Linked DNA regions of Notamacropus eugenii. The protein of the gene in region 3 interacts with the protein of the main gene of each other region in a pairwise test. Links are inferred from orthologs where the notes say so. Each region holds a gene or a part of one and is shown on either strand. Other genes may lie near its edges.

What was found.
Region 1: the proteins of BANP (region 3) and SH3RF2 interact in binary tests that used the Homo sapiens proteins (3 or more experiments, as listed by UniProt). The two-hybrid records come from large-scale screens. The link is inferred for Notamacropus eugenii from reciprocal best matches to the Homo sapiens genes BANP and SH3RF2.
Region 2: the proteins of BANP (region 3) and CAMK2D interact in binary tests that used the Homo sapiens proteins (3 or more experiments, as listed by UniProt). The two-hybrid records come from large-scale screens. The link is inferred for Notamacropus eugenii from reciprocal best matches to the Homo sapiens genes BANP and CAMK2D.
Region 4: the proteins of BANP (region 3) and RAB3IP interact in binary tests that used the Homo sapiens proteins (3 or more experiments, as listed by UniProt). The two-hybrid records come from large-scale screens. The link is inferred for Notamacropus eugenii from reciprocal best matches to the Homo sapiens genes BANP and RAB3IP.

Annotation. Positions count from the first base shown.
Region 1 is NC_092872.1:374,989,777-374,997,239, forward strand, and holds the start of SH3RF2 (E3 ubiquitin-protein ligase SH3RF2), read left to right. Parts: upstream 1-4,445; 5' UTR 4,446-4,537; intron 4,538-5,997; 5' UTR 5,998-6,143; coding exon 6,144-6,524; intron 6,525-7,463. UniProt on the Homo sapiens protein: Has E3 ubiquitin-protein ligase activity. Acts as an anti-apoptotic regulator of the JNK pathway by ubiquitinating and promoting the degradation of SH3RF1, a scaffold protein that is required for pro-apoptotic JNK activation.
Region 2 is NC_092878.1:115,955,689-115,962,976, forward strand, and holds the start of CAMK2D (calcium/calmodulin-dependent protein kinase type II subunit delta), read left to right. Parts: upstream 1-4,283; 5' UTR 4,284-4,304; coding exon 4,305-4,552; intron 4,553-5,976; coding exon 5,977-6,060; intron 6,061-7,288. UniProt on the Homo sapiens protein: Calcium/calmodulin-dependent protein kinase involved in the regulation of Ca(2+) homeostatis and excitation-contraction coupling (ECC) in heart by targeting ion channels, transporters and accessory proteins involved in Ca(2+) influx into the myocyte, Ca(2+) release from the sarcoplasmic reticulum (SR), SR Ca(2+) uptake and Na(+) and K(+) channel transport.
Region 3 is NC_092872.1:703,794,707-703,802,195, reverse strand, and holds the start of BANP (protein BANP), read right to left. Parts: upstream 3,006-7,489; 5' UTR 2,779-3,005; intron 1-2,778. UniProt on the Homo sapiens protein: Controls V(D)J recombination during T-cell development by repressing T-cell receptor (TCR) beta enhancer function. Binds to scaffold/matrix attachment region beta (S/MARbeta), an ATC-rich DNA sequence located upstream of the TCR beta enhancer.
Region 4 is NC_092874.1:247,281,453-247,288,959, reverse strand, and holds the start of RAB3IP (rab-3A-interacting protein), read right to left. Parts: upstream 3,020-7,507; 5' UTR 2,893-3,019; intron 1-2,892. UniProt on the Homo sapiens protein: Guanine nucleotide exchange factor (GEF) which may activate RAB8A and RAB8B. Promotes the exchange of GDP to GTP, converting inactive GDP-bound Rab proteins into their active GTP-bound form.

The DNA.
Region 1 (7,463 bases), about 330 Mb from region 3:
CTTAAGTTCAAATCTGGCCTCACACATTAGCTGTATGACCCTGGGCAAGTCACTTAACCCTGTTTGCTTCAGATTCCTCTTCTGTAAAATGAGCAGGAGAAGGAAATGGCAAACCACTGGAGCATCTCTGCCAAGAAAACCCCCAAAAAGGAGTCACAGAAAGTCAGACACAACTGAAAAAAAAATGATGAAATAAAAAAAGAATTAAGAAACCTCTTGATGAGGATGAAAGAGATGAGTGTAAAAACTGACTTGATATCAAAAAAACTAAGATCTTCACAACTGGTTTCACTACTTCCTGACAAATAGAGGTAGAAGAAATGGAAGCAGAGTCAGATTTTTTATTCATATATATATATATATATATGTATATATATATGTATGTATGTATGTATTCAGATAGATAGATAGATAGATAGATAGATAGATAGGTAGATAGACAGGTAGATAGATATAGATGACAGCATACTAAAAAGCAGAGACATTACCTTATGTTGTTGACAAAGGTCAGTAGTGTTAAGGCTATGGTTTTTCCAGTAGCACTGTATGGCAGTGAGAGTTGGATTGTAAGGAAAGTTGAATGATGCAAAATTTATGCTTTCCAATTATAGTTCTGGAGAAGACTTTTGAGAGTCTTTTAGACATCAAGGACATCAAATCGGTCAATACTTAAAGAAATTAATTGAGACAATTCACTGGAAGTTCAAATGTTGAAGTTTAAATACTTTGGCCATGTAATGAGAAGACAGGATCCATTGCAAAAGACCCTGATGGTGGGAAAGCTTGAAGATAGAAGGAAAAGGGGACAGCAAAGGATGAGATGGATAGATAGTGTCATAGAAGCAACAAACATGAACCCTGACAGACTTCGAAAAACAGTTGAGAATAGAATGGCCTGGCATGCTATATAGTCCATGGGATCATGAAGAGTGATGAAAATAACCAATGTTTATTGATTGATTGACTACATGACTTGAGGCCCCTTCTAAGCTCTGAGGTTCTTTGATTCTAAGATTCTGTCATTGTATGATCATCATGGACTTAAGTGATGATAGCTGAGTACCTATTGGCTGCTCAGAGCTGTGGGGAGGGAAGTTGAAGTATTAGAAAGCAACTATCAATGAAAGACCAATCAAGGAATGAACATAAAGTTTGGTCTGATTTAAAAAAAATTTGCTAAAATTCAGATTGGACTATAACTTTTCAGGAACTTGACTGTTACATAAAGTGAGGTATATTTGCAAATATAAACAGCAGGTACAAGTGTTTTATATATATGTATATATGTATATATACATATACATATATATTTAAGTATACTACATATAGCCAACGATATCTTTACAAACACAACTGCTGACAACAGGCTACATGTATAGTGGAGGGAAAAAAGAAGTAGGAGCCTAGAGTCTGGAGAAGTTCACTTTGTGGGGTTTTATTTGTTGGTTTGTTTATATTCTTTAGATATTCATCTGAACTGCTGCCAAATAAGCATTTAAGAAGACTGGGGAAATCCTGATTTAATACTATCCTCCTGCCTCTGAAGATAAAGGAGCAGCTACCAACAGAACTCCCTCCCAAGGTTTCAGTCAGGATTAGTCATCCCCAAAGTATGCCAGATGGTCACCTATATGGTATATTATAGGGACCGTTGGGAAGACCCACTGCTTCTCCTGAATGATGTTCACTGCTCTGGCAGTGATGTCTGCAGTTCCACCAATGGCAATTAATTCCTTTGAGTACAGTATTGCTTTCACCAGGTTTCTTCTTTTAAAATGCAAAGAATTCCAGCACTGGCAATATTAAGTTCCTTATCAATAAGGGGTATTAATATTGCTAATGATGATAATTAATAAGCATCTTATGAATTATTTTATCTTTTGAGTTCTTCAGTGAAAGCATAAAAACATAATCTTGTACAGGAAAAGTACTGCTAAAAATGACAAGGATGGAACAGAGGGAGATGAGGAAGAAGAGAAGCGAGAAGTCTCACATTTTGCATATAAATAGTATAATACAAAGGTTTGCATATGTATGTGAAAATGTGTATCTATACATATGTTTCTGCTTAGCACAGTGTCTGGTATACTGTTGTTGTAATTCAGTTGGGTCGGACTCTTTGTGACCCCATTTGAGGTTTTCTTGGCAAAGATACTGGAGTGGTTTGCCATTTCCTTCTTCAGCTCCCCACTTGCCCAGGGTCACACAGCTAGTAAGTGTCTGAGGTCACATTTAAACTTGAGGAGTCTTCATGACTTCAGGGCCAGCACTCTACCCACTCAGCCACTCAGCCTGGCACAAAGTAGCTACTTAATAAATGTTTACTGACTATATGTCCTGTCTCTGACTAATATGACCCTGGATAAGTCACTTGAATAACCAGGTCACTTTGTAAGACCATAAACTATAAAGAAGGTGTTGATCAACAACAGTAGAGCAAATTCTTCACCCAAAAGAGGAAGTTCTCCTGCTCCAATAAAAAAGATAAATGCTTGCATATGAAAAGTAATGTGGCACAGGAGATAGAGCCTTGGAGCCAGGAAGACATGGCAAGTCTTGACTGTGGTACATTCTAGCTCTGTGATTCAGGGACAAATCATTTAACCTGTCAATGCCTTCAGACAACTCTCTAAGACTATAAGAGGGAGTTTTCACACAGGGACCTTCCTTGCCCTAATGAAATCACTGGTCTGGTCCTACCTCCTCCCCCAAGAATGAGTTACATTTTCCATTAAAACAGAAAACAATGTTCACATGCATCTTTCAAAAAATTTGTTTGGATAAGGAAGCTGCCAGATAGATCGGGAGTTGGGGAGAAGGAACAGGTTATAAATTTATGGAGTAAGGAACAGAGTAGAAGGGAGGTAAAAGCCAGTAACTTCACGTGGCTTTCCAAAGGACAACAAGCCAAGGCCAGCAATTATTTGGAAAAGGTGATAAGGGCAAAGCAGGAGCTTAAAAAGGAGATATATGTATAAAAACGCTATAGGAATCTATAAAATTGAACAGAAAAATATCTCTCAAAATTGGTTAGCTATGAAGTAAAGTGGTTAAGACAGCTAGGTGTGTGTGTTCGTTCTTCATTGCCGAAGAAGACCATGCCATCAGAGAAACGATGACATGACTTGCACTTGACTTTGTTTTGAGTGAGGGAGGGCTGTGCAGGTCACCAACCTCACTTCTCCTCCAGAGCCATCTGAATCAAGTGACCAGATGTTCATCAGGATTACTGGAAATGACCCAAGATGAGGCAGTGACACTGCCTTGAGGCAGTGAGTTAAGTGACTTTTCCAAGGTCACACAGTTAGTGAGTGTCAAGTGTGAGAGGTGAGATTTGAACTCAGGTCCTCCTGATTCCTGCACTGGTTCTCTATCCACTGCACCCCCAGGTAGCACTGCGGATAAAGCATTGGGCTTAGAATCAGGAAACTTTGTTTTCATGAGCTCAAATTCAGCCTCAGACACTTAATAGCGGTGTGATCCTATGCAAGTCACTTAACCTTGTTTGCCTCTATTTCCTCATCTGTAAAATGAGCTGGAGAAGGAAATGCAACCACTGTAGTGTCTTTGCCCAGAAAATCCCCAAATAGGATTACAGAGAGTTGGACACAACTAAACAACAACAAAAAGTGGTTAACCAAAAAAAAAAAAAAAAAAAAAGTTATGCTCAGAAATATTCAGGTTCTACTCCATATCTACAATACATTTTCTTTTGGGTGGATATTTTTCAGAACAACATTGGGCAAAGTTTGAAAAACTAAAATAACCACTCCACCCTAGTCCATTGTCTATTCCCATGTATTTATCTTAATGTACTTTTTAAACAATGGAAGAATTATAATGTTATATTGTGAGAGCGTGTAATATGGGAAAAGCACTGAGCTGGAAGTAAAGACAATTTGGATCTAGTTCCAGTTGTCATTAACTACGGACCGTGAACTAGTCACTTCACCTCTCTTGGGTCTTTCATCTGGATATGAAAGTATCAGGCAAGCTGACCTGGAAGATCTCTTCCAGCTGGCGCAATTATATGATGGGTCAAATCCTGGACGTGCATTTATGTTATTACAAATAGGGATTAGGGGAGGGTGGGGGTCATTCTGAGGAAACCTTCAGGAGGGTTCAAGGTTTCAAATGAAGGGAATGATGTTGACTTTGATCATGACAGAGACATGTTTCAACTTCTTAGACTAGCGAGTGGAAAAGGTGAACGTGCAAACCATACACGTGCTTTGTGCCGGGGGTTCGCTGTTATTGACGCCCTCCTAATCTTGTTCCCCAATCTCGCCTTTTCCCAGAAATAAGCAGGGCGGCAAAAAAACAATGGGCTGCGCCGCAGGGAGTGTGCTTCCTCCTCCCGAAACCTGCCGAGCGTCTGCAGCCCGGCGGCGAAAGCGTTAACAGAGCTGGATGAGTAAGCCGAGCCATCCAAATGAGTAACATACATAGTTGTTAAAGTTTTCAAGGCGGCTGCAGCTCGGAGAGAAGACACGAGACACTGGGGCTGAGCTTCTTCGGCAAAGGTCAGCGGCGTGAGGTTAGTGCAGGCTCCGGCTGGAGCTGACTGCGTACGGGAGCGAGCCAGAGCCTGGCATCTTTGAGGGAAGCAGGGGAGCGGGGGAGCAGTGGGAGTGCCCAGAGCCAACTCTGCATTTAAGGTCTCTCTGGCTGCTAGGGGGCTGACCGCCACCCTTTCTTCGCCTCCTTCCCAAGAATTACTCAGTAGGCACCAGCGCTGAAGCCTGGCTTAGTCTGCGTGACAAGCGTCGGACTTCTCAGAGAGACTTAGCCCTAGCGAGTTGGGGAGGGCCATTACGCCCATCAGGAGCAAGGACGGGATTTCTGAGGCTTGGGATTTTGACTTTCAAGACACACACACACACACACACACACACACACACACACACACACTCACACACGAAATCACACCTGTGAACTCTGGACTCGGCTTGCTTTTTGCAAGTTGTGGCCAACAGTCCAGAATTCCTTTCTGTTTCAGTTAAAACAAGTGTTGTCAAAGTAGCTAAACAGGCTCAGTTACTTCCCGTTGTGGGAGGAATATTGCCTTCTGCGGTTGTCTTAGATAATCGTGCTAAGTAAGCAGAGGGAGGCTTAAAGTGACCAGTTTGCAGTGTGGGGTAAAACTGTAATTGAAGCAGGTTGCTAGGTGAAAGGTTTCCCATGCATTGCTAAGAAATCTCATTCAAGAAACGTATTTAACGTATTTAAAAGATGCTAACCTTACAACTGCATACTATATTGCTTTGTAATTAACTTTTGGGGGGCGGGGGAGACGATCCGAAGGGCAGAATCGTGAGGGACTCCGGATGTGGAAACAGCCTTTACTGGCAATTCCTCAGTAATTTAGTTTTACAAGAGGCCTTTCCTGATCCCTCAGTTAATAACGCACTTCTCTCCAAATTATTTTGTACTTATTTGCATGCTTCCCCTACCCTACCCCAATAGAATGCCATGTGTCCATGGGCACAAAGTGAGTTTGTATCCAAGGCAGGACTGCCTGACTAAGATTGGCCCACTATCTGCTAAAGCAAGCTGCCTCTTATTATCAAACACATGCCTAGAAAAATGAGGAAAGAAGGTCATAGATCTATATCCTCCAAGAGGTTTTGATTCTGCTGTGAGTTAAAAGTTTTCAGAACTGAGACGGAGGCAGGTTTGTACTTCCCAACCCACCTCTAGCTTCCATCTACAGGTAGGAATTAGCATAGACACTTCAATATGAATTATTCACCTTGGATTTTGGCTTTCCCTCTAAAACTCCGGTTACTTGTCACCCAACTGAAAGCCCCCCTCAGATTCTTGCTGCAGGCTTGAGAGGCAATGCTGTACCTGCTATTACTAAATCACGACTCACTTGAAACTTAGATGCCGGGAACAAAGTACACGCTTGCAAATTGCCTTATGAGGCACTGCTTCACATTGTAGGTGGGATACATTTCAAAGCAGTCACATTTTTTGTCCTCTCTTTTTCTTCAGACATCGAGGTTCTCTGAAATCCAGGACCCAGCTGGTGTTCTCCTGAGGACTGATCTGACCTGCTCCCCCATCCCCCACTCTTGTCTCAGGTCACCTTACCATGTGGACTCTGTCCATTCAGGCCAGGATTGGAGTTTTAAAATAAGATGGATGATTTGGCGTTACTTGATCTTCTGGAGTGTCCCGTGTGTTTTGAAAAGCTCGATGTCACAGCCAAAGTCCTCCCCTGCCAGCACACCTTTTGTAAACCATGTCTACAGAGGATATTCAAAGCACGCAAGGAACTGAGGTGCCCAGAATGCAGAACCCTTGTCTTCTGTGGTATTGAGGAGCTCCCAGCCAACTTGCTCTTGGTGCGTCTCCTGGATGGCGTCCGATCGGGTCAGAGCATGGTGAGAATGGGCTCCATTCGAAGACCTGGCATACTGACCTCTCAGGACCCAAGCAGGAAAACCAGGACAGATCCCAGAGGTTCGCAGCCCAGTCCATACCGACTGACTCCCAATGCCCGAATCCACATGGATGGGGTAAGAAAGTATCTGTTGATATACTGTCACGTCGAAGACTGGATTGTGAAATACAAATGGCTAAGGAGTACTTGATTTTAGTTGAGTCTTCACTTCTCATAAAATTTCTGGCTTCAGTGAATTTACTTACTGTTTATTATTTTTGTGATGGACCCAAGTTCAAAACCAGCCTCAGATACTTGCTAGCTGTGGAACCTTGGACAAGTCACTTAACTTTTGTCTGTCTTTGTTTCCTCATCTGTAAAATAGGGATGACAATAGTATCTAACGCCCAGAGTTGTTGCAAAAGTAAAATGAGATAATATTTGTAAAGTATTTTACAAATCTTGCATCTCTATATAAATGCTAGCTATTATTATCCTTTTTGCTTAGCTGTGCAACTTGGTGAGATCCCAAGTATCTCCAAAACTCTACAAACAGTCTAGGAACTCTTCTTATACCTGCCCACTTCTAGAGTATTTTTATAGATTTCTGGTTTTTCCAGGTTCTTCTGCTCCAGGAAGTAATAGAGATGGATTTTTTTTAAACAATATTTTTAAAACACTTTTCACTGTTGCTCTTAAGGAACAAAACCAATAAGTGGGGAAACATGATTAAAAAAAGAAGGGGACATTTTTAAACTGCTTTGTCTTCGAGGTTCAGGAAAGTTTCCAGATTCAGTTTTAGTTAGATTTTCGCCCCAACCTATCCCTTTATTCCAATCATAATATGCAATTATGACAATGCACATTCATAATTGCTAAAAATTATCAAGAAATTAAAATCTCAAGGATGAGGCAGGAAAAATATGTGAAAATGGATTTATTGATCTACCTACCCCCACCATGCTATGCCTTGACATCTGTAAAATTGGGGTAATAATAACTCCTGCTTCACAGAGTTTAGTGGGGATGAAATGAGTTAACAGAAAGTTTGTAAACTTTAAAACACTATATAAAT
Region 2 (7,288 bases), on a different chromosome or scaffold from region 3:
TTCAAAATAATTCCATAGAGAGAATCAAAAGTAACCCAGAAAAAGGAGAATTCAAACCTTGGTATAGAAATCTATCAAATACAGTGTCTAGTGTGAGGGCCACATTCCCAGGGAACCCACTAATTCTGGAGCTCACAAGTCTATCCCTATTGTATCGTACTATAACCTTTCCTCAAATATTGCCCTAACCCTCATCCTCCACTCCAACCCTCTACTCCCAAATCTAGATCACTTGATCATCACTTTTTCCATTTTATAAATCTGATAATACTAATCTTTACTGTATCTTTGTCCTGGTTTAAAGAAGCCAAGAATCACTGGGCAACTTAGACTCCATTTCAATTAAATTCTTGATCTCACCAATTAAGATCCTGACCAGAGTGCTTACTGTACCAAGAAGATTAAACAGCCAAGGAAACATTCCATCTTTTGTTTTGACAATTCAGGTAGGCCTAAAATAATTGTGAGTAAGTGCATGATATAGAAGTTAGAAGATCAGCCTTGGAGTTAGGAAGGCCTAGATGAAATCCCAACTCTTCTACATCTGTGACGATGGGCAAACCACTTATCCTCTCAGCATCCCCAGACAACTAGGTGTCAAAGAAGGGTGCTGGATCTGGAGTCAGGAAGACTAGAGTTCAAATTCTAGCCTTAGACACTTACTGACTGTGTGACCTTGGGCAAGCCACTTAATCTCTGTCTGCCCATTTCCTCAAATGTAAAATGACAATTATTAGATCCCCTACCTCCCAGGGTTGTTGAGAGGATGAAATAAAATAATATTTGTAAAGCATTTAGCACAGGGCTTGGCAAATAGTAGGCTCTTAAAAAATGTTTACTCTCTTTCTCTCCTTCCCAGGCAATTTTCTAAGGCTGTAAGTTAGAGATGGGCTGTGGACCAGCATCAGAGAAGAGTGTTTCCTGTCACACTGATGAAGTCAAGTTTAAAAAAAAAAGTGTGATGATTCCACATCATTAGACTTCTAAACTGAAGTGAGATGTCACCTCTGTGACATTTTCCTTTATCTCATTTTATGTGATTTTTCTTTTTTTTTTTTTGCATTTCATCTTCCATTTTTAATTGAAGTAGGACTACGAACTGCTTTGATTATTTACTGTAGTTTATATGTCTCCAGAAGTTATTTGCAATATTTGTTTAGTGGACTGAATCTTTTTTTTTTAATTAAACTAGAACAAAGAACTCCCCTAGTAGTATTACTTGGATGTTTTATGGGACCTTGAATGCCATGCCAATGGAACATAAGTTCTCAAACACGAAAAAGTTCCATGTGGTGCCCTAGTGAAAGAAATGGTACAAAAGACATTATCAAGGACATGTATGATGGGCAAAGGAAACCTACCACTCATGGAACAAGTGATATAACACATGCACAGACTAAGTATTACATTTTAATACACAGACGAGTAAAGGAGACAGAGAAAGATCTTTAGCAAGGGGGATAGATAACCCATGAATGATTCATGGAAGAATATAGACAGTAACACAGGATGAGACAGCAGGGATAGGCTGCAATTTGTACCATTGAAGGGGAGTACCTTCAATAATGAGGTCAAAGATTCATTTAAATATCAGAATTAAGCAATCAGCAAACACTAATCAAGGGCCTTTTATATGCATGGAATGGTGCTGAAACCTAAGGATAAAAAGACAAAAATGAAACATCCCAAAATACGGATTACGGGATAGGATGAATTTGCCTAGATCAGGAGTGGGGAACCTTCAGTCTCCGGCCACATGTGGCCCTTTAGGTCCTCAAGTGCAGTCCTTGGATTGAATCCAAACTTCTCAGGACAAATCCCCTTAATAAAAGGATTTGTTATGTAAAACTTGGACTTAGTCAGAAGGCCACATCCAAGGACCTAGAGGGTCACACATGGCTTCAAGGCCAAAGGTTCCTCACCCCTGGCTTAGACTGACGTGATATGGACATTGTTTATGCTTTCCTACTCTCCTGGTATGGCATAATTAAAACTTGTTTGTCTTTTATAGTGCAATACAAACCTCATAGTGTTAAAATTGCTGAAATTTAAGGAGTTGAGAAAAATGATGTCATTGTGTAGGTTTCATAAATTGTATACTTTTTAAAAATTACATTTCTTGATTGTTATAAGGCCTTACAAACATTCCTCTTAATTATTGCTTTCAAACTTTTTTGTTTTTAACTAATGTTTCATTAAGTGATATAGGCTCTTTTCTTAACTAAAATATTTAAAATATTTTACTTGAATTAGTTTGTATGACTGGCTGATTTCATTTCACATCCTAAATATTGACTTAATTCCCTTCATCTTCTTTACTTTTAATCATGTTTTCATTTCTTAGCATTACATTTTAATGCAGTGACTTTACATTTGATTTTTTCAGCATGGAATGTACAGCACAAACTATTTTATGGGTATGGGGATTTGTTTGAAGTGGGAGTCTTTATATTTTGAAAAATGAATGGCATTTGGTGTACTGAGTTGGAACACCAAATTGTTAGGCAAACCAATTCAAACACTGTTTATTCAGTAGTGCCAGTTATTAGAAAGGCACGGTGCTCATTACTGGGAATACAGAAACGAAACAGTCACTGCTCTCAAGAACCTTACAGCATTGCAGTGGAGATCCACCATGTGCAGAAATAAATGTAATACAAAGTTGAGTGTGATGGGGGCAAGGAAGCCAGCTGGACAGTAGTCTAAGAAAGACGAAGATGTTAAAAACATGGTATGAAGAAGACTATTTTCTCTTGCATTTTGTTTTGTTTTGGTTTTTCTCATGGTTTCTCCCATTCATTTTAATTCTTCTATGTAACTTAACTAATGGGAAAATGTGTTTAATAAGAATGTAAATGTAGAACCCATATAAGATTGCAAGCCATCTTGGGAGGGAGGAAGAGAAATTTAAGACTTATGGAAGTGATCATTGAAAACTGAAAACAAATAAATTAATTAAAAAAACACTATAAAGTAGAAGCAGGGTGGCATCTGAGTTTTGTCTTAGTCAATCAATTCATCAGCAAGCATTTATGAAGCACCACTTGGTTTGGGTTAGGCACCTTTGCTAAGGATCTCTCCTGTTCAAAGGAACAGGAGTATTGGAATGAGTAGTGAACCAGAAGAGATTGCCTTCTAGGTATGGATGATCGCTTTACAAATGGGAAGAGATGGGGAAGAGTTTAGGTCATCCAGCTTAGCTTGAACAATGTCTGAAAGGGAATCACATAAAATAAGGCTGAAAAGATAAACTGTAATCAGACTATGAAGGTGTATAAATGTTGTAATAATTAAAGTTGTACCCTTCAAGAAGTCCCTGAAGATTTTGGAACATGACATAATCAAACATGTTTCAGTCATGAGGATGATAACAGTAGCATTTTTATAACACTTTAAGGTTTGCAAAATGTATTATTCCAACTGTTGTGATATCATTGTGATACAGGAGAGCAATGGATTGGGATTTTCTTGTTTAGACAGCTAAGTTTCTGTGGGTAAAACATTTCACCTCTTCTGGCCTCAGTCTGCAAAAGATCTCTTTACAGCTATAACATTTTATGATTGAGAAGTCCACAGTTACGTTCACAGTATGGAGTTACGGTGGGAGGTGGTTGTGGTTGACAATTTTTCCTGAATCTGGGCTGAAGTAACAAAAGGGACTCGTTTACAAAATGACCACTAACCTTTTGTTTTTTTTTTCTCATTCCCTTTGAATTTGCAATTGCCATACTTATTATGGAGTTAAAAGAACTAGAAAGGGAAACCCAGAAGTCATTTCGTTCAGTTTGTCATGCTATCCACTGGACTTAAATTGCAGCTACTGTGCTAATGATTGTTTTGCATAAATTAAATAGCTCATATATAGGCATCAACGTCTTCATTTGCATGTAGACTAAGCCAGAATGTGGCAATGCCCCATCGCACGTATTGGTATCCATGCATCTCAACTATTCATTTGTGTAATACACGTAAAGGCTGCTATCTCTCCGGACTCTTGAGTACACAAGCACACATAAGCGCCCTACCTTTTTTTTTTCTCCTTTACAAATCGAAACAGGCTGGACAAGTTCATGTGATGCAAATGACGTCAGCCTCCATTGGGTCCCGTGATAGACAGACAACCTTCCCTACTCTACCCCACCCCTCCCCTCTGCCACAAAAACAGACTGATCTCGCGAGAAACCTGCGCTCCCAGCGCCTAGACCTTCCCGGGAGGACAGGGAGAGAAAGGGAAAGGTGCGGCTGAGCGCGGGGTGGCGCGTGAAGTCTTTGTTCACACCTCCGTTTGCAACCCGGGGCCTTTGATGCACGCTCCATTCCCAGGCTTCGCTGTGGGAAGCAGTGGAGGAGGTGCAGGCGTGGTGTCCGCACCTGCACCTTTAAGAGCGGCCGGGGGAGCCTGGAAACGGGGGTCCCCTGGGCTAGCTGAAGAGGGAGAACCCCTTCCTGGCTGGGGCGTGGGAGCCAGCCCGGCTCCGCATCCCGGCCGCTTCTGCATCCGGCCTTGGGCTGGCTCCGAGCTGGAAGCCGGGATGCCAAGGCTCCCCACCGGGTGGGCACCCAAGCACTAGGGTACACAGAGGAGCCGGGTCGTTGGCCCCTGCCCCCGGGGAGATCCCGCCGGGACATGGCTCCTGCTATAGTCCGACTCTGAGGGCGCACGGGAAATCGTGCGGAGCAGCGCGGGGGAGGGGGGCTCGTACCGCTCTGCGCCCCCGGGGAGCTTGGTGCAGGGGGGCTGTGCAGGGCCTCCCCGCGCGGCCGGCGATTCATTCCACCCCCGCCTGGGAGGGTTAAAGGGCTAGCTGGCCGGTTTGGCCAGTTGGCTTTGCCTGGCCGGCCGCTCCCGGGGTGTGGAGACCCTTTCCCTTACTACAAGGCGTATCTGCCTGTCTGTGGGTCTGTCTCTTCAGACCTGTTTGCAGAGACCCTGTTCCTGCGTACCCCTCCTCCTCCTCCTCCCCAGACCATTTCAAACTGTGTGTGTGATCCCGTCTTTTCTAATCTTTTTGCACTCTCTGCCTGGGTATACCCCTCCTTCCCAGCGCGCGCGCGCGCGCACACACACACATACACACACATTGCGTGCTGAGAGGGTTGTGTCGCTAGAGGGAGGTGTGGGACAGAGAAAAGGGGGGCATAGAAGAGGGGGTGGCCCCGCAGTAGCTTGAGGAGGGGCTGGGGGACAGCAGAGACGCTGAGGCTGAACTGTGCTCGCCCTGCTACTGCCCACCCCGGGTGCCCAGCGCGCTCGGTGCCGTGCCTCCTCTCCATTCCCAGAGAGCTGCATAGGTACCCCAGCTGGCCGTCGGCTGTCACCGGCGGGGCGGGGAAGGGGAGGGGAAGCCGGCCAGAGGAGCCGAGCTTCCCATTGCTCTGGCGCTCCTTCGCGCACACCCACCCACCCACCCACCCACTGGAGTGGAGAGACTGAGGCTGCTGACAGCTGCAACTGGACTGGAGTTGTCTCCGTCGGGCTTCTCTTCCTTCCCCTGCCCCCTCCCCACTCCACTCCACCCCCTCTCCACCCTTCCACTCCCTCCCCTCCGCCTTTACTCCTTGTCCCCAGTTCATATCGTTTCGCAACTGCTCGCCTCCTGCCCCGTGGCTGGCTGAGTTTTTTCTCTCTCCACCCCCCACCCCCAATTCCTGGCACCTTTTCTATAATACTTTCCCCCCTCCTCCAATTGGGGAGTGGGGGTGGCAGAGAGGGAGGGTGGAGCGTCCAGAGCCGGAGAAGAAAAAGAAGGAAGCGGGAGCAGAAGGATTGTACGATTGTGGAGAGGGGACCCTACGGCACTCTTTCTTTCCCATTGCACCCTTCCTACCTTCCCTCCCCCCCAAGTCCAGATCCAGCCACTTTTTTGGACGAGAAAAGTGAAGGAAGACGGCTCGGGGGTGATAGCGACACAGGGGCCGGTCCCAGGCAAGCAGCAGCACCTCCCGTCCCGTCTCATCCTCCTCCCTCTTCGACAGGAGCCAGCTCGGACCTATGATGGCCTCAACTACAACCTGCACCAGGTTCACCGACGAGTATCAGCTTTTCGAGGAGCTTGGAAAGTAAGCGTCCTTGCCTGGCGTCTGCGGGTCCCCTTTCCTGCAGAGGGCGAGTCGCGTTACCCCCGACCCAGCAGTCCTTTACCGTTAGGGGGTCGTGGGAGTTTAGAAAAGGGGAGGGGGGAGGGGGAAAAGGCTAGCTTGACAGTTGGGCAAAAGGTACTGATCCTTAGGGTGAGGGCGGGGGAGTAGAAAGGGAAGACCACCAGGCTGTGTCCAAGGCTGATAATCCCACCCACCCTCCTTCCCCACTCCCATTTTGCAAGAGAGCCTTCGTGAATTTATGATCCTTGCAGTTGGAGCTGTCATCCTCTGGAGTGTGTATATATGCTTGTGAAAGGCAGGAAATGAGAACCCATGTAAAATGCAACATAGATCATGTTTTCTGTAAATAGAGATGCCTCCAGGGTTTACCGGCGTGTCTGCTCAGTGATACACGTACGGATGAGAACCTCACTGACACAGACGGTGCCATATTTATTGATGCCGAAAGTTCAAGTTGGCGTTCAGTCTGTTTTGTATCCAGTAGTTCTGTCAAAGAAGACAGCAGCCCAGTGTGACATATATATCTATATATCAAGCACCTACATCTTCAGCTACTGTAGGGAGGGGAAAAACTTTCTGGAATTTTTGTCACACCATTCTTCCCAGGATATAGACAGTCTCCCCTAAGAGGATTAATTTAAATGTGCATGGAGGAAAAAACCTCTCTGGAAAGGGAAGAGTCCTGTTTTGTGTATGTGTGTGTGTTAAAGATTATATATAGATACACACATACACATAGTGACAAAAATACTTGCCAGTTTTAAAGAACAGGGAGAAAGATATAAACAAGGAAACTCATTATAAAGAAATCTAACCTAGAGGCTCAGCCACAGTGTTACAGCATCACCCCCAAATGAAATCTGTTCTCATTCATATCTACAGCTTGATCTATTACTTGGAGAAGGGGTGTGTGCATATGTCTGTTGGTGGCTGATGAAGGCAAATAAAAGGAAATGTAAATTTCATTGTGTAAGTGTATTTATTCTGTATGATACTCTTACACTGAGTGGTACTGCATGCACACACACATCTATATACACACGTACATACACATAAAAGGTCAGAAGAGGCAGTTTAATTAAAAGCCTTTTTTTTAACCAAGGCATAAAGAAATCATCGTGCCAGAATTCATTAACTCACACAAATATGCTCAATATTTATATTTCTCTGAGAACAATTATCATAT
Region 3 (7,489 bases):
AGTCAAAGTTCAGCCATGAGTCATAATTGGGCCAAAGCCATTCAGATGACTTCTCACCTAGAAGAAAAAAATTTTCACAGCCATGGAGTGCAAACCTAACCCACCACAATCCCACAAATATTTCTATTATTGTAAACAAATAATCAGAATTTAGGAACTACAACTATCCTTAGAGGCCTAGTCTAAGCCCCACACGTTTTCAGATGAGAAGGGTACTGAAAATTAAAGACTAAGTTACCATTCCAAGTCACTCAAGACAAATTAGACTGCCAGAGTCCCACCTCTGGATTCCTCCAGTCAAAGCTCTTTTCACTGGGCAGTACTTCCCCTCACATCTCACACCTTGGCAGCATAATTATCAAATGAGATGATTTTTATAAAGTGTCCAACATGTGGTAAGCACTTAACAAATGCCCACTCCCTCCACCTACCCACCACCTTCCCCTCTCTTTCAGGAATTTTTTTTTCCCTCCCAGGTGAAAATGTTCCCCTCCTCTTCACAAACTAAAAGTTCTTATGTTAAGAACACATCCATGAGGGACCAGCTGAGACATAATCAAAGTTTGATGTGGCCAGGGGTTCTCAACACTCCTCCACCCCCATAAAGGGTCAGCTCTGGCAAGTGCTACCAGAATGCAAAGGTTCTAAGGATGGACCCAGTTAAGATGCTGTTACACTGCAAGCCAAAACCCAGAGACCTCAACAAGCTGGTAGCATTGATTAATTCCTTAGCAACGACTGAAAACGAACATGGAGAGAAACTGCAATCCACATTTATGGAAGGAGTACCAAACTAAAAAAATTATACTTAAAGTATGAGTATTAAAATACATCTCAAGAATAATCATGTTGTGGGTGTATATTTGTCTGAATTTTGCCCCAGTTTACCAAAAGTGAAAAAAAAAATTTAAACCTGACCAAAGCAAAAATCAAGGCTAAGATTCAAAAGAGCCAAATCAGTATACCCAAAAATAATGAGGTGAGGCAAAAAGTCAGCTATTAAAATCACTGAAGGAACTGTTTTGAGGCTCTCTACAGATCCTTCCATTTCTAAAATTCTATGATTGTCTTTCCAAAATTCAAAGTAGGTTACATCTTGATTTCTTTTCTGAAACAGACTAAACATAAACAATCAGTAACTCAAAGATCCATGTATCTTATTTAGGGAACAAAGTTTCACAAGTTTCTTTATACTTTAGATTTAATATTGTTCCAATTCTAAAAAATTCCACCAACATAACTTCTAGTATACTCTTCATACAACCATAGAATGTAATCCTCCAATGAGACTACTGAGCTAAGACTTTACAATACACCAATCTAAAATGTGAAAACTGAGCATGAAAGGAAAAACCTAGCCATCTGATATTCACACCTTTTAACACACTGTCTAATTACAATCAGTCTTGTTAGGCACCACAGTATTAAAGTGAGTTATCCCTTCTCCAAATATGCTGTAGAATAATAGTTCAGAAACTGGAAAGTGCCTTTACAGCTCTGTTCAAATAACATTAAATATTCCCCAATCTCATCAAAATTATTTAAATTTGAACTGCCTTAGAAACCGAAACTCACAAAAAAAAGTATTATCTGACAGAATACTGACCAACAGTATAAATATAGTAGAGAAGCTCAATAATCACAGAATCAATCGATAGTAATTTGACTTTCAGGTATTTAATTATATAAATCCCGATGCTTTTATAATTTATCCAAATTCCTTTTCTAATACAAACTCTGCAAAGTCAGTGGTGGGGGGAAAAAAAGCAAAGGCAAACAGCTAATTTTCTTTTTTTTTTTTTTAAGCATAAAGGTTTTGTTTGCAAAGCCCAACTGAAGAAACTGAGGGCTTTGAAAATGTACAAAAGTGGGTCACAGACACGTGGACTGTTTACAATACACAGAGCATCAGGTGAGCTGGAAGAGAAACGCAGTTATCTGTATGTTTGGGAAAGAAGGGGGGGAGGTAGGGAGAGGGTCATGAATAATTCACTAAACAATCTTCTCCAGTCATTTCAGGGGGGAGGAGGCGGGGAATATTCCGTTTCCCAAATGACTCCCGATCTCAGGCACGGCCTAGGGTTTCCTAGCTGCACGGCTTCGGGTCACTTCACTTTCCCCTCTCGAGGCCTCAGTTTCCCCGCCTGTAAAGTAGGGGTACTGGACCAGCTCATTTCTAAGGGCCCTTTTTCACTTCACAAGCCATGCTAGGGAAGCCTCCTCCCCTTCGGGCCTCAGTTTCCTCATCTGTAAAAGAGGCGGAGGCTCCCCCAAAAGGGTCTCGATCCCTTGAGCCCAAAGGGGAGGCCGCCTCCCTGCCCGGGTCTCAGTTTCCTCGTCTGTCGAGGAGGGGGCTGGGCGGGACTCCCGGTCCCTGGGGCCGCCGCCGGGCCCGAATCCTGGGCTGACCGCCCAGGAAGCGGCCGCCGCCGCCGCCTCCCCCACCCCCGCCCCGGTATTCGCCATCCCCAGGAAGCGAGCGGCCCGAGCGAGGCCGCCGTTGGCAGCAGGGCCTGGCGGGCCTGGCCGGGCCTACGCTCCCGCTCCCGGCGGCGGCGGCGGCGGCTCCGGTCCGGGGGGGCGCAGCGAGGCCCGGACCCAGACGCACCGGGGCTGAGGCGGACGCCGGGCCGGGCGGTGGGAGCTGGAGCTGGGCCCGGCCAGGCCCGGAGAGGAGAGCAGGGGAGAGGCGGGGGAGGGGGAGATCTCGCTCTCGCTCTCGCCCCGCGGGAAGGGGGGGGAGGTGGAGACGCGACCGGCTGCGGGAGCTGCAATTACCGTGTGGGCTGCGGAATTCTCGTGGTGTTTGTCGGGGAGATGCGATAATGGCGTCCGTCCTCGCGAGAGGAGCTGCTGCAATGCGCAGGCGCCGCGATTCCTTCCCCCGCGGCGATCGTCCTCCCAAACCTGCGCAGACGCGTTACCCCCACCCGCCAGGAGAGGGAATAGGAAACGACGCGCGAGCGCCGGCCTCGTCCCTTATCTTCGTGCGCGCGCTTTCACCTTAACCTGATCCCGCTCCCTTTAGTCACTACTTCAGTCAGAGCGCATGCGCACCTCTTCCCAGGCTCGTCCCGTTTTGATTTTCCAGGACCCACGCAAGCGTGTGCTCTCAGCTTCTTCAGCCGACTGTAGAAAAGGGCGGAGAGTGTCATTTAAATGGACTGATGAAATAATTTGATTTATTGGCTTTTGGCTTTGTTTACTGCTGTCGTTTCCCACTCCCAACCCCCACCCCGAAAGAACCACCAGGGCAATACTACAAATCCCAGGATGCATGGCTCTCGGCATAAGGTGCATCCTGGGACTTGTAGTCCATCTGTGTCATTATGTTAGAGAGCATGCTGGGATTTGTAGTCTGCTCATCCTGGCCCGTTTTCCCACTGCATGGAATGCTGGGACTTGTAGTTAAGTTAATTTAGTTATTAGATGCCTCCAAAGTGATTTTCAGTATTTCCCTCTGTCCTTCCTTTACCCTGTATTTAGACCTTTGGAGGCCTTGTCTGGAAGCAGGCAGGCAGATGATCAGATGACCTGGGTCCCTTGATGGAGATCTCTCTAATTGGTGAATTTGTCTGGAAGGCTGCACCTCTTTGGAATTAATAACCAGTCAGGGATGTCAGCATTTGGGGCCAGAGAAATCAAGGACCAACCTCCTAAATTAACAGAGGAGGAAACTAAGACACAGGGATTTTAGAAGTCATTCCAACATTATATAGATGGGATGACCTCCATTTTTTTTTAAAGGTTTATTACAATCTTGGCCACAAAAACACACATGTACACTCTATACTTTTCAAAGGCATACTTTTTACAAAACCACTTTTTTCCCCTCAAAATTCTTCTCTGTAACCACTTTACTTTTCTGAAAAGGTTTTAAGGTTTTAATTTTATACCTTTTTAAGAGACCCTAGTAAACAGTCCTCTACTGGCTTGTTTTACAGTGTAGGTACCACTAGTTTTGTATATAAATTTGGATGTCATCTCTCTCATTAGATTGTAACCTTCTTGTGGACAGGGTATGTCTTTTGCCTATTTTTGTGTCTCCGACATTTAGCACAGTGCCTGGTACATAGGTGCTTTGTTCTCAAAGAGGACCATGTTATCAAGATGATGATATGACTTCCAGTTGACTTGGATCTGAGTGAGGGAGAGCTGTGCAAGCCCTGGATAAGTGTTAAATGATTGATATTTAACAGATTTCATGCTATTTCATCTGCTCTATGCCAACCAACACACTCTGCCATCTTCTCCAAGTGTTTGAAGAACTGTCAGTGTACAAGTCTTGTATTGCCCTTCAACATAGGTCAATTGGGAGAAATTTCAATATGATCTGATGCTGAGCGAAAGGAGCAGAACCAGGAGAACTTTGTGCACAGCAACGACCACAGTGTGCGAGAGTTTTTTCTGGTAGACTTGGATCTTCATAGCAATGCAAGGACATTAAAAAAAAAAAAATCCCAGTGGTCTTCTAAGGCAAAATACCTTCCACGTTCAGAGAAAGAACTATGGAATTCAATTGCAGAAAGTAGCAGATCATTTGTGTGTGTGTGTGTGTGTGTGTGTGTGTGTGTGTGTGTGTATGTATTATGTTTTGGTTTGTTAGATGATTTCTCCCATTTATTTTAGTTCTTCTACACAGCATGACTATAATGAAAATGTATTTAATACGAATGTATGTGTAGATCCTATATAGAATTGTATGCTGTCTTGGGGAGGGAGGGGGATAATGGGGAGTAAGTAGGGGGAAAAATCTAAGTTTTATGGTAGTGATTGTAGAGCATTAAAAATAAATAAAATTTAAAAAATAAAATGAAAAAAAAGAAATTTCACAGTTGAAATAATGAGCTTGTCTTTACTCTCCAGCCCAAGTGCCCCTTTCTATAAAAGACTTCACTGATTCCCACTAGGTGTTAATGCTCTTTCCAAACTGATGACAGAGATTTTTGTCTTTGCAGTCCTAGCAACAAGCACAAAGCTTTGAGCATAATAAGCATTTCCTAGGTAAATGCTTGGTCAATGGAATTGTAGAGGAGATGGATTTTTTCTTCTAATTTCTGCTGAGTCACAAGATGAGGAATGGGCCGTACATTTTCAGACACTAGCCAATGTGGGCATTTTTCCCACTGGACTAGGCATATTGTTACAAGGGATTCATTATTTTATTCCAGTGGGGGTATGGGGATGAAAGGATGAAGATGGAGATATGGATAGAAAGGAGGAGAGAAAGGAAAAAAAATTTTTTTTAATTTTAATAGTGGAAAGAAAAGAAGGTAAACCAAGCAAGCAGGACAAGCCTTAAAAGCTACAGGTTGATCTTATTATAGACTTTAAAAGAAAAGTCAGCTGTATCCTGTAGTTTCAGGTACAATCTTCTTTTTCTGTTCTAAAAGGTATCTCAAAAATCTTAGTGCAATTTAAATGTCCATTCCATTTGATGTTTACTAAGATTATAATAAAGATAAGAAGTAATTTAACATCTGTTGACAATCTAGATGCCCACCCCTCACCCCCTGATTTATGTCATGGCATTCGATCTTTCTAGTCTTAATGACTCCTAGCATACAGACTTGGCACCTTAATTAACTGCTGACTTATCCCCTACTCCAACCATCCTATGCATCATTACCACTCAAGCCCTGCAAGTCCCTTGAGGAACCAGGGACCCTAAAATTTCATCTTGGAAATTACAATCAAGAGAAACTTTTTCTCAATCAATATATTTACTATGCCTTTGGAGAGAGTGCTAAAGCTTTCCTACGCTCATTAGATTGTAAGATCTATTAGAAGAGGGAATGTCAGGTTTTTTTTCTTTTTTAAAATGTCCAACCACGTAGCACAATGCCTTATGCATTGTAGGCATTTAATGAATATTTACTGGATTTAATTAAGCTATTTCCTGGGTGACTTGGATTTATTAGTTTCTTTCTCTGGTCTTCCTTTTCTCTAACTATAAAAAAGAAATATTTGCTCTAACTATACATTACAAATTGCCTATGAGATATTTCTAGTTGGGTATCCTATAAGCATCTCAAACTCAATATGTCTACAACACAATTCATTATTTTCCCTCCCAAATCCACCCCTTTTCCAAACCTCCTTCTTTCTAGCTAGATTACCACCATCCTTTCAGTTACCCAGAAGGAGATGACAAAAATCTCTCCAGTATTTTTGCCAAGAAAACCCCAAATAGGGTCATGAAGAGTAAGACATGATCAAAATGACTGACAACAAAAGTCCCAACTGACCGTCTCACTAGCCTATTCAAGAAACTTCAATAGCTCCCTCTGACCTCTAGAAACAAATCTAACCTGTGGCATTTAAGGTCCTTACCACGAGATTCTCACTTACCTTTCCAGATCTACTGGAAGGCAGGGACTGTTTGTTCCCCTGCTCTCCTTGTATCCCCAGTATCTAACACAATTCTTCCACACAGTAGGTACCTAATAAATGCTGTTGGTTGATTAGATTATTTCTAAGTTCCTGAATCCTATCATCCTATAAATTTTCAATGCAGTTATATACAATGCCAATTCAACTAAACTCTCCAAAACTGTCAGATTTTTGCTTACTGAAGCCTTTTCAGGGATAATTGGTCATAAGGCTCTGTCTGGTCTCCATGGGAAATTTTCAATTAATGTTAGCACTGATTAATAACTAAATGAATGAATTTTTTAAAATTTGACTAAGTGCTTATTATGTGCTAAGTACTGTACTAACGGCTGAGGATACAAATACAGAAGCTTATATTACAATGGGGGAAAACAGCTTAGCAGAGTGGTGACAAGGGATTACTGTATGTTGAATGGGATCATAGGAGAGAAGATTGGACTGATCCCATCCAGGAACAAGGTTGTTGTGTTTGTCCTTTGTTGCCAAAGAAGACCATGCCATTAGAGAAATGGTGACATGACTGCACTTAACTTTGTTTTGAGTGAGGGAGGGCTGTGCAAGGTCATCAGCTTCACTTCTCCTCCAGAATCATCTGAATCCAAGGTCTATTCAGGTACTCACCTAGGGTGAGGTAATGCCCATTCATTGAATAAGTCTGTTTAAGAGGTAGCCAGGGGTTGGCCCCTTTAATGAGGCAAAGAAAAATGAAGATATCAGACTGGGAGGGAAACAGCAACACTCTGACCCAGGAGGGTCCAGAGGAGAGCCCTTAGACAGGTGCCTAGTGTTGTCCAATGGATGAGCTTCAGAGTGCAGTAGGTTTAAGGTTTTGGGAAAGGAAAGGAGAGAAGAGGAGAGGAGAGAGGAGGGGAGAGGAGAGGAAAAATAAAGGAATCAAGCCAGTAAAACAAATATATCTTCCTTTGGAGAGGAGAAGGAAGGGGAAGGGGAGACAGACAGAAGAGGAGGAGCTGAGTTACCTAGCTAGCTGAGTCCCCATTCAGGCAGCCTGGGTGGGCTTTCCTGAAATTGTAATCCCAGAAAGACAGTCATCAGTCAGGCTGGTTAGAATTCACATGAAAGTCCTTCAGGGTAT
Region 4 (7,507 bases), on a different chromosome or scaffold from region 3:
ACACAGGATGAAAAGGACAGACCCAAAGTATATTCACTTTGCCATTTTAAAAATGTGTGTGAGGGTTGCAGGGAAAAGGAAGAACAGTTTAGATGTATAAAGAAAACAGGGCTTATCCTCAAAAGACCTGGTGTGAGTTATAGTTCTCTTTCTTTAACCACCTGTCATGACCTTGAGCATCTATCTACTATCTCTGAGGCTCACTTTTTTTCTACTATAAAATAAGAGGTTTGAACTAGACTATCTCCAAAGTCTCTTCCAGCTCTAAATCTTAAAAACCTATGATCAATTCAGCATTGAAACCACATCTATCAATAGTGATTCATAAAAAAGTAGAGGCAGCATATGAATTTAGGACACTGATTCACAAATTATTGCTATAATCTAATAAGAAATTCACAGATTTCTAAAAAGCAGAGTTATCTGTTCAAATTAAGTTTATTCTAATAAAATGTGAAGAGTCATTTGGCACTAAAATGTGAATTATTTATTGATCACATAAGAGCTATGAGAAACTTCTTTTACCTTAGTGGTAAAATTCAGGTAATAAAACATACATACGGATATACACCAGAAAGTTTTTTTCCAAAAAAGAAACATGTCAATATCTCATTTTTTGGTCACATAATCAAAAGCAAGAACAAAAAGGAGTTATTATTTTTCTTCTAGAGGAACTCAAATACTCAAGTAACAATTACCACAATGATTAATATAAATTCTACTAAGCATTTAGCATCACACCATACTACTAAACCATATTTCTGAGATGTATCAACAAATGCTGTCCAAGCAACACTGACTTACACAGTACAATAACAAATGTTATCACAAGAAGACTTCATGAAACTGGTAATATTATTTAATAGCATCAATTGTTTATTTTGCCTGATCTTCAAACCCAGGCTATTTTCTCCTCGAATTTGTAAATAAACCATCATCTAAAGTAACTAAAATTAAACAAACTTTAATTAAAACTAAATGTAATGCAAATTTAAAATAAAAAAGAGCAACAAAATAAAAAGGAAAAACAAAAGCTGTTCTTTGAGAAAACAAGCATTTAGCCACCCAGGAGTTTGGGACATCCCATTATCTCCCTAAAAATCATGTCACCATTCTGCATTAAGTGACAATCAGAAAAGGATTCAGTCAATACAGACAGCCTAGATGTAAATGACAACTGCTAAATTTCCTCCAAATCCTTCCTCCCAGGAACTGAAAGATCCCCATTAACCTTCAGATACATCACACTCCACGTAAAGTGAAAACTTGTAAGCCATTGTACAAATTTCCCACTTAAAAATCACACCAAGTCAGCTCAGGGGTGAAATACCAGTGCTAAAGTTTATGCCCGTGGTTCTCCCCTTTACCCATCTTCCACCACTCAGAAAAGCTTTATTTTTCCCCCCTGTTCTTATTCCCACCAGGAATCTGACTATTGAAACCTCAGGAGAGGCACCTCTAAGCCTTAGTGACTTCATCTTGCCAAAAAACAAAGAACACAAAACACAACAACTCTCAAAAACAAGTCACAAATAAAGTTCCTGGACTGATAAACTGAAATCCTTATGAAAAACATGGAGACCCTATCAAGGTTATTTATTTATGTGCATAAGCTAATAATTTCTTTTATCCAAAAAGGTGCACTTTAACACAAACCAGGCAGTACCGAGTAGTGGGGTAGAAAGCTTGTCTATCTACAGAAAGATTTCATGCTTTAAGGGAAGGAAATGTTTTCGAGTGTGTAACTTGCTCTTTGTTTTCAAAAGTGAATTCTTAATAGACTTTATAAGAAATCTATAATATGTGCTGTGCATATTTTTTTATTCTCTGGGTACTTATCGCTTTTGGTCTTCATGGAGAGTTGCTCAAAACTCCAAGGAAAAATTAAACTCAGAAAAAGAGGTTCCTATTCATAAAAGATTCCTATCTTTTTTTTAAAAAGCCAGTAAACCTGAGCTCAAGCCTCGGACCTAGAGTGACCGATTCAAGACTGCCTCGGACACAGATCGCCAACCTCTCGAGAAGCTAATCAGTTCTCTGAATTGATAGGTATAAGTAAGCAGTGTCAGAGGGAGTTGTCCGTCTGTCCATCCACGCAAGATCGTAGCCCCAGAGCTGAAGGGTGCACAAGGGGGTCCTAACCCTTCCCTGTCATTTCCCAGGGCAGGACGCAGGGAGCTGAGTTCAAGGCTTCGCTCGGGGGATCCGGACAAGTCACTTTCGCCGATCGATGGCTCCGGGGAACTCGCTAAGATCCCAGTTTCCTATAACTCCCAGGTACAGTCGGGGTGGGGGAGGTTCCATTCCAATGAAATCACAGCCCCCCCCCCCAAAATCAGCCGCTTGACGCTCCCCCAGCACCCCAGAGAAACAGGTGCTGCTACCACCCTCGCGGGCCACGGAGGTGATCGATCACTCATGCGGACTGATTGGTTTGGAAGGCGCCGAGCACCGCGCCCGGTATACAGCAGGGTCTAACTCAGTGCTCGTCGCCCGAGTGGGACGCCCCAAGTTTCCGGGGGGCAGGTCGGGATCCCCCCTTTTTTCGGAGACGCCCTCGAACTTCATGGTGGGCGGCCCTGGGCTGGCGGGGGGTTAATCAGTAACCGCGGCCGCCTGCGGAGCGAGGCCGGGGCCCGTGGGAGGCGCTCCCCGAGCCCGCCCGGCGCCGCAGGGCTCCTGGGGGAAGCGGCGGGGCGAGCGCCCGGGCTCCGTGGCCCGACGCGGGGAAGGCCCGTGGGCTCCAAGGTCCGGCTCCGCGCGCCGACCCCTCCGCGGGCGCCTCCTCACCGCAGCCGGCCGCGCTCCGAGGGGCGGGCGGAGGCGGAGGGGGCGGTGCTGCGGCTCGCGCTCCCCGCTCCCTCCCCCGTCCTCCCTGAAGCTGACACTCACCTGACCGAAACCCCCGCGGAGAGGCTCCCCCCCGCCACGAGCCCGCCCGCCGGGGCGCAGGGACCACGGGAGGAAGCCGGATCCGCAGCTGCCCCGGCCGACGCCGCTCCGCTTCTGGCCCAGCTCGGCGCACTGCGCTGGGGGGAGCAGTCGGAGGAGCCGGACACTGCGCCTGCGCCGCGGGGACCGGAGCCGGCGAGAGGGACCCAACTCCCCACCCCGCCCCACCCCGCCCGCACCTGACTCCCCTTTCCCCCTTAAAGTGGAGAGGCAGGACGGCCGGGTCGGTCCGAAGGGCCGGCGCGCCGCGGCGCCCCCTAGCGCCCAGAGGCGTCCCCTGCGCGCGCCCCGGGCACTGCAGGTTCATTGGGCCGCAGGTGTCTGGGGCCGGGGTGGTTTCCCCGGGAACAGTCCCGAGTCGGCGCAGAGCTGCCTTGACTCGGGGCCAGACTCGTCAATGTCACCAGCGTGTTCGAGTCCCAAAAAGCCCCCGAAGGCGCTGGGCAGCTGGAGGACCGGGGCTGCTGGAAAGGGACCTGCCGCGTGGGCTTCTCGGAGTCGGAGGGGACACGCGTGGAAGGGGAAAGTCGATTCATTCCTTCCCACCCCCATCCCTGCCTTTCCAGGAACTGCTTGGAGGAAACTGTGTTGTTTTTAAAAGCGGCTCTTGCCTTGAAGGCTGACTCCCTTAAACTACTACAAGGTGACTGTTCCGAGACTTCCAAATGAGAGAAAAAAAAAATGGAAATTGCGAGAGGGAAAAAAGAAAATAAAAGTAGCCATTAAAAAAAATTCATATATGGGGGTGTGAGTCCCCGAAGGCTCCATCTCAGGTTCACAGATCTAGTAGAAGAGACTCCAGAGGTCACCGAGCTGGCCAAGCTCACATTTAGTTTGCGTGACTAGTATCAATCAATCAGTCAACATTTATTAAGTTCCTACTATGTGCCAGGCACCGTATTAAGAGCAAAGCATACACAGTAATGTGCACAGAGTCATCGATCTAGTGGAAGAAGGGAAGAAAACAAGTATTTATTTGTTATTGTTCTATCAGGTTTTCTTGGCAAAAATACTTGAGTGATTTGCCATTTCCTTCTCCAGATCATTTTACAGATGAGGAAACTGAGGCACATTTGGGTTAAGTGACTTGCCCAGAGTCACACAGCTACTAAGTTTCTAAAGGCAGATTTGAATTCCGGAAGACTCCAAGCCCAGCGCTATATTCAGTGCATGACTACAATGTATCAAGTGCATGACTACAATGTATCAAGTGCTGTACAGATAACTCACTTGATTCTCACAGCAACCTTACTTAGGAGGTAAGTGCTCTTATTATCTCATTTTACAATTAAGGAAATTGATATAGACAAAGGTTAAGTGGCTTGCCCAGGGTCACAGAGCTAATAAGTATCTGAGACCCAATTTGAACACGAGTTTTCTTGACTCCAGGTCCAGTGCTCTATCCGCTGTGCCACCAACCGCCTCCACCAGGAGTTTCTGAGTCAGTCAAGAATGAAGTCAACAAACAGAAGAAAAAGAAAAGAAAGTGATATGATAACTTTATTATATATTTAAAAGGAGTAACAAGTTGTACATAATAGATTTGCAGTTTCATGTACAATCACCTTTTTCCCCCATTCTACTGTGTTATGGAAATGTTTGTTTTATTTAAGTTCAGAATAAAATAAATAGTTTTTTAAAAAGACATACTATGTGCCAGACACTATGCCAAGCACCAGGAGTACACCAGGAAAAAAAATCAATCCCTGTTTAGTCAGAGGCCAGCTAGTCCAACCTCCACATTGTACATTCCATGAGGGATGTGAAGGTTCTGGGCTCAAATTAATTTATGTGACTCATGCATTTATTAAGGATATTATATTGATATAAGATCATACACAGCCAGAAGGGACCTCAGAAGCCAACAAATCCAACCATTTCATCTGACAAGAGGCTTTGGCTCTAGGCTCACATATATCTAATGTGACTCACATGTGTATATATATGCATGACACACTACCTTGAAATGTGATGCAATTCAATTCAAACAACACTTAATAAGCAAACAATAAACTAACAATCAAAAAACATTTATTAAGTACCTACTGTGTGCCAGGTACTGTTCTGAGTACTGAAGATGCAAAGACCAAAATAAATCATTGTGATAGAATTCTCACCCATGAATGTTATATATATTACTGAAAGCATGGTGGGTGTACAGGAAATGGTAAACTTTCCTGTGCAGAGAGTTCTGTCTCCAGGCCACTTAGAACCACCTACCATCAGCATGGCCCATTAGAATGCTATGTGGCAGTGATCCCTCCCCTGCTCTTGGATTGCCAGCAATCTGGTGGTGAGAAACCATGATTCATTTTGTTGTTATTCAAGAACACTTATTAAGTGCCTATTAGGAACAAAGCAATTGATGCCTCTGATCTAGCTGGGACAATGCCCCAAACTAACCAGATGACATTTGTTTTGAACAGGATGACCAGTTAGTGGGGGTTTTGTGACAGAGGGGATTGTTGGTTAAGTGTAAGTTAGAATAACTTGCCTCTGAGTTCCCTTCCACCTCTGAATCTGTAAAAGTTGAAATTTAATACTAACAAATACAGCATCCTGCATTTGAGATCAAAATACAAAATATGGAGGAGGGAGAAAAAAAAAATAAAAACCAAGCCTAAGAAATAGGAAAAAAATACACCAAGGTTTTAGTGGTCTGCAAACTCAGTAAGAGCTAGCAATGTGATGTGCCTGACAAAAGAAGTAATTAGGGTTGAGGCTATGCTAAAAGTCCTCACCCTTTAAGAGAGAAGAGAAAAAGAGGGAGAGGGAAAGAGAAAAAGAGGGAGAGAGAGAGAGAGAGAGTGTGTGTGTGTATGTTTTGGAGTATGGGTGAGGGAGCAGAGCAGAGTTTTAACCAGCTACATATACCATAGAAAATTTTGAGGACCTAGCAATGTTTAGCCAGAAGACTTAAGAGGTACAGAATGATTGACAATATTTGAAGGTCATCTAATAAAAAAAGAAGAAGATTTGGAGGTTTGGGGACCCAGAGGGCAGAGCTAAGACCAGTAAGTAGAAGTTAAAAAAAAAAAAAGACAGATTTCAACCCCATGTAAGGAAAACTGTCCTACATATTAGAATTGACCCAAAGTAGAATAGTCATCCTTTGACATGAGTAACTCACCCATAAATAGAGGTGATTAAGCAGAGACTCAGTGGGTTTGTCTTAGATCAACTCTTAAGTCAGAGATCCTTTGGTTCTGTGAGACTCTGATTAGTTAAACTATGGTTGCACTTTGTAGTTTCCATACACAAACATACTAAAATTCTTAACCCCATGATTGGGGGTGGGGGTGGGAGGGTGGAATGGAACCTGAGGTTTCATTGGTGTGAGGATCTCCTGAAAAGGAAATTCCTTCTACCAAAGCAGACTGACCCTTGTTCTGCAACTTAGTCTTAGGTTGCCTGGGGAGCTGAGAGGGTAGTTCATTCCACTTTTGGACACTGTAATTAGTAAAAGTATAATTTTCCATAACAAAGGCTTAAATAAAGTTGAGTGATTTGCCCAAGTTGAGACTTGAACTCAAATCAGCAACAATACAATATTTTCTTTACTATTCTATGCCAATCTACTGGCCTTAAGATGAAGAAGGGGAAAAAAATGACCTAAGAATCAACAAAACAAGTTGCAAATTGAGTCAGGGGTGGAAAGTATGCTTCTTGAAAGCAGGGATTATTGAACTCTTATCTCTTAGCACAGAACTTGGCTCATAAGGTGATAAATTCTTATTGAACTGAGTTGAATTAGAAATTAGAATTAGAAAATAACATTTCTTTCTCTGTTGTGTTCTTTCTGTTAATTCTGATTGATTTTTTAAAGTTTCTTATAGCTGTTTTGTTCTTTCCTTGTTATAATGTGGCAACAATGATTTTTTGGAAGAGTCTGCAAACTGATATTTTAGTACTAGAAAGAAGGAATACAAATAGAGAAAAGAAGAAAAGCTATTCCCCAAATAGATAAGTGGGCAGCAAGGTGGCATTGTGGATAGAGAGCTGAACCTAGAGTCTGGAAGACTCATTTTCCTGAGTTCAAATCTGATCTCAGATACTTACTAGCTGTATGACCCTGGGCAAGTCACTTGATCCAATGTGCATCAGTTTCCTCATATGCAAAATGAACTGAAGAAGGAAATGGCAAACCACTCCAGTATGTCTGCTAAGAAAAACTCAAATGGGGTCACAAAGAGTTGGATGTGACTGAAATAATTGAACAACAAAATAAATGATCAAAGGATATGAGTAAGCAGTTTTCAAAAGAAGAAATGCAAACTATGCACAATCAGATAAAAATGTTTCCAATCACTGATAGTAAGAGGTATGAAAATTAAAACAAACTGCCTTTGTACCTCACACCCATTAGATGGGCAAAAATGATGAAAAAAAATGGTGGTCATTGGAGTGACTGTGGGAGGGATTCACTTCTGGTGGACATACAAAGTGGACTGAATGATTCTGGAAAGCAATTTGGAACAGTACTCCCAAAGTGACTAAATTAAATAACCCCAATCAATTGATAGCATGAGTAGGCATATACCCTAAAGAGTTCAAA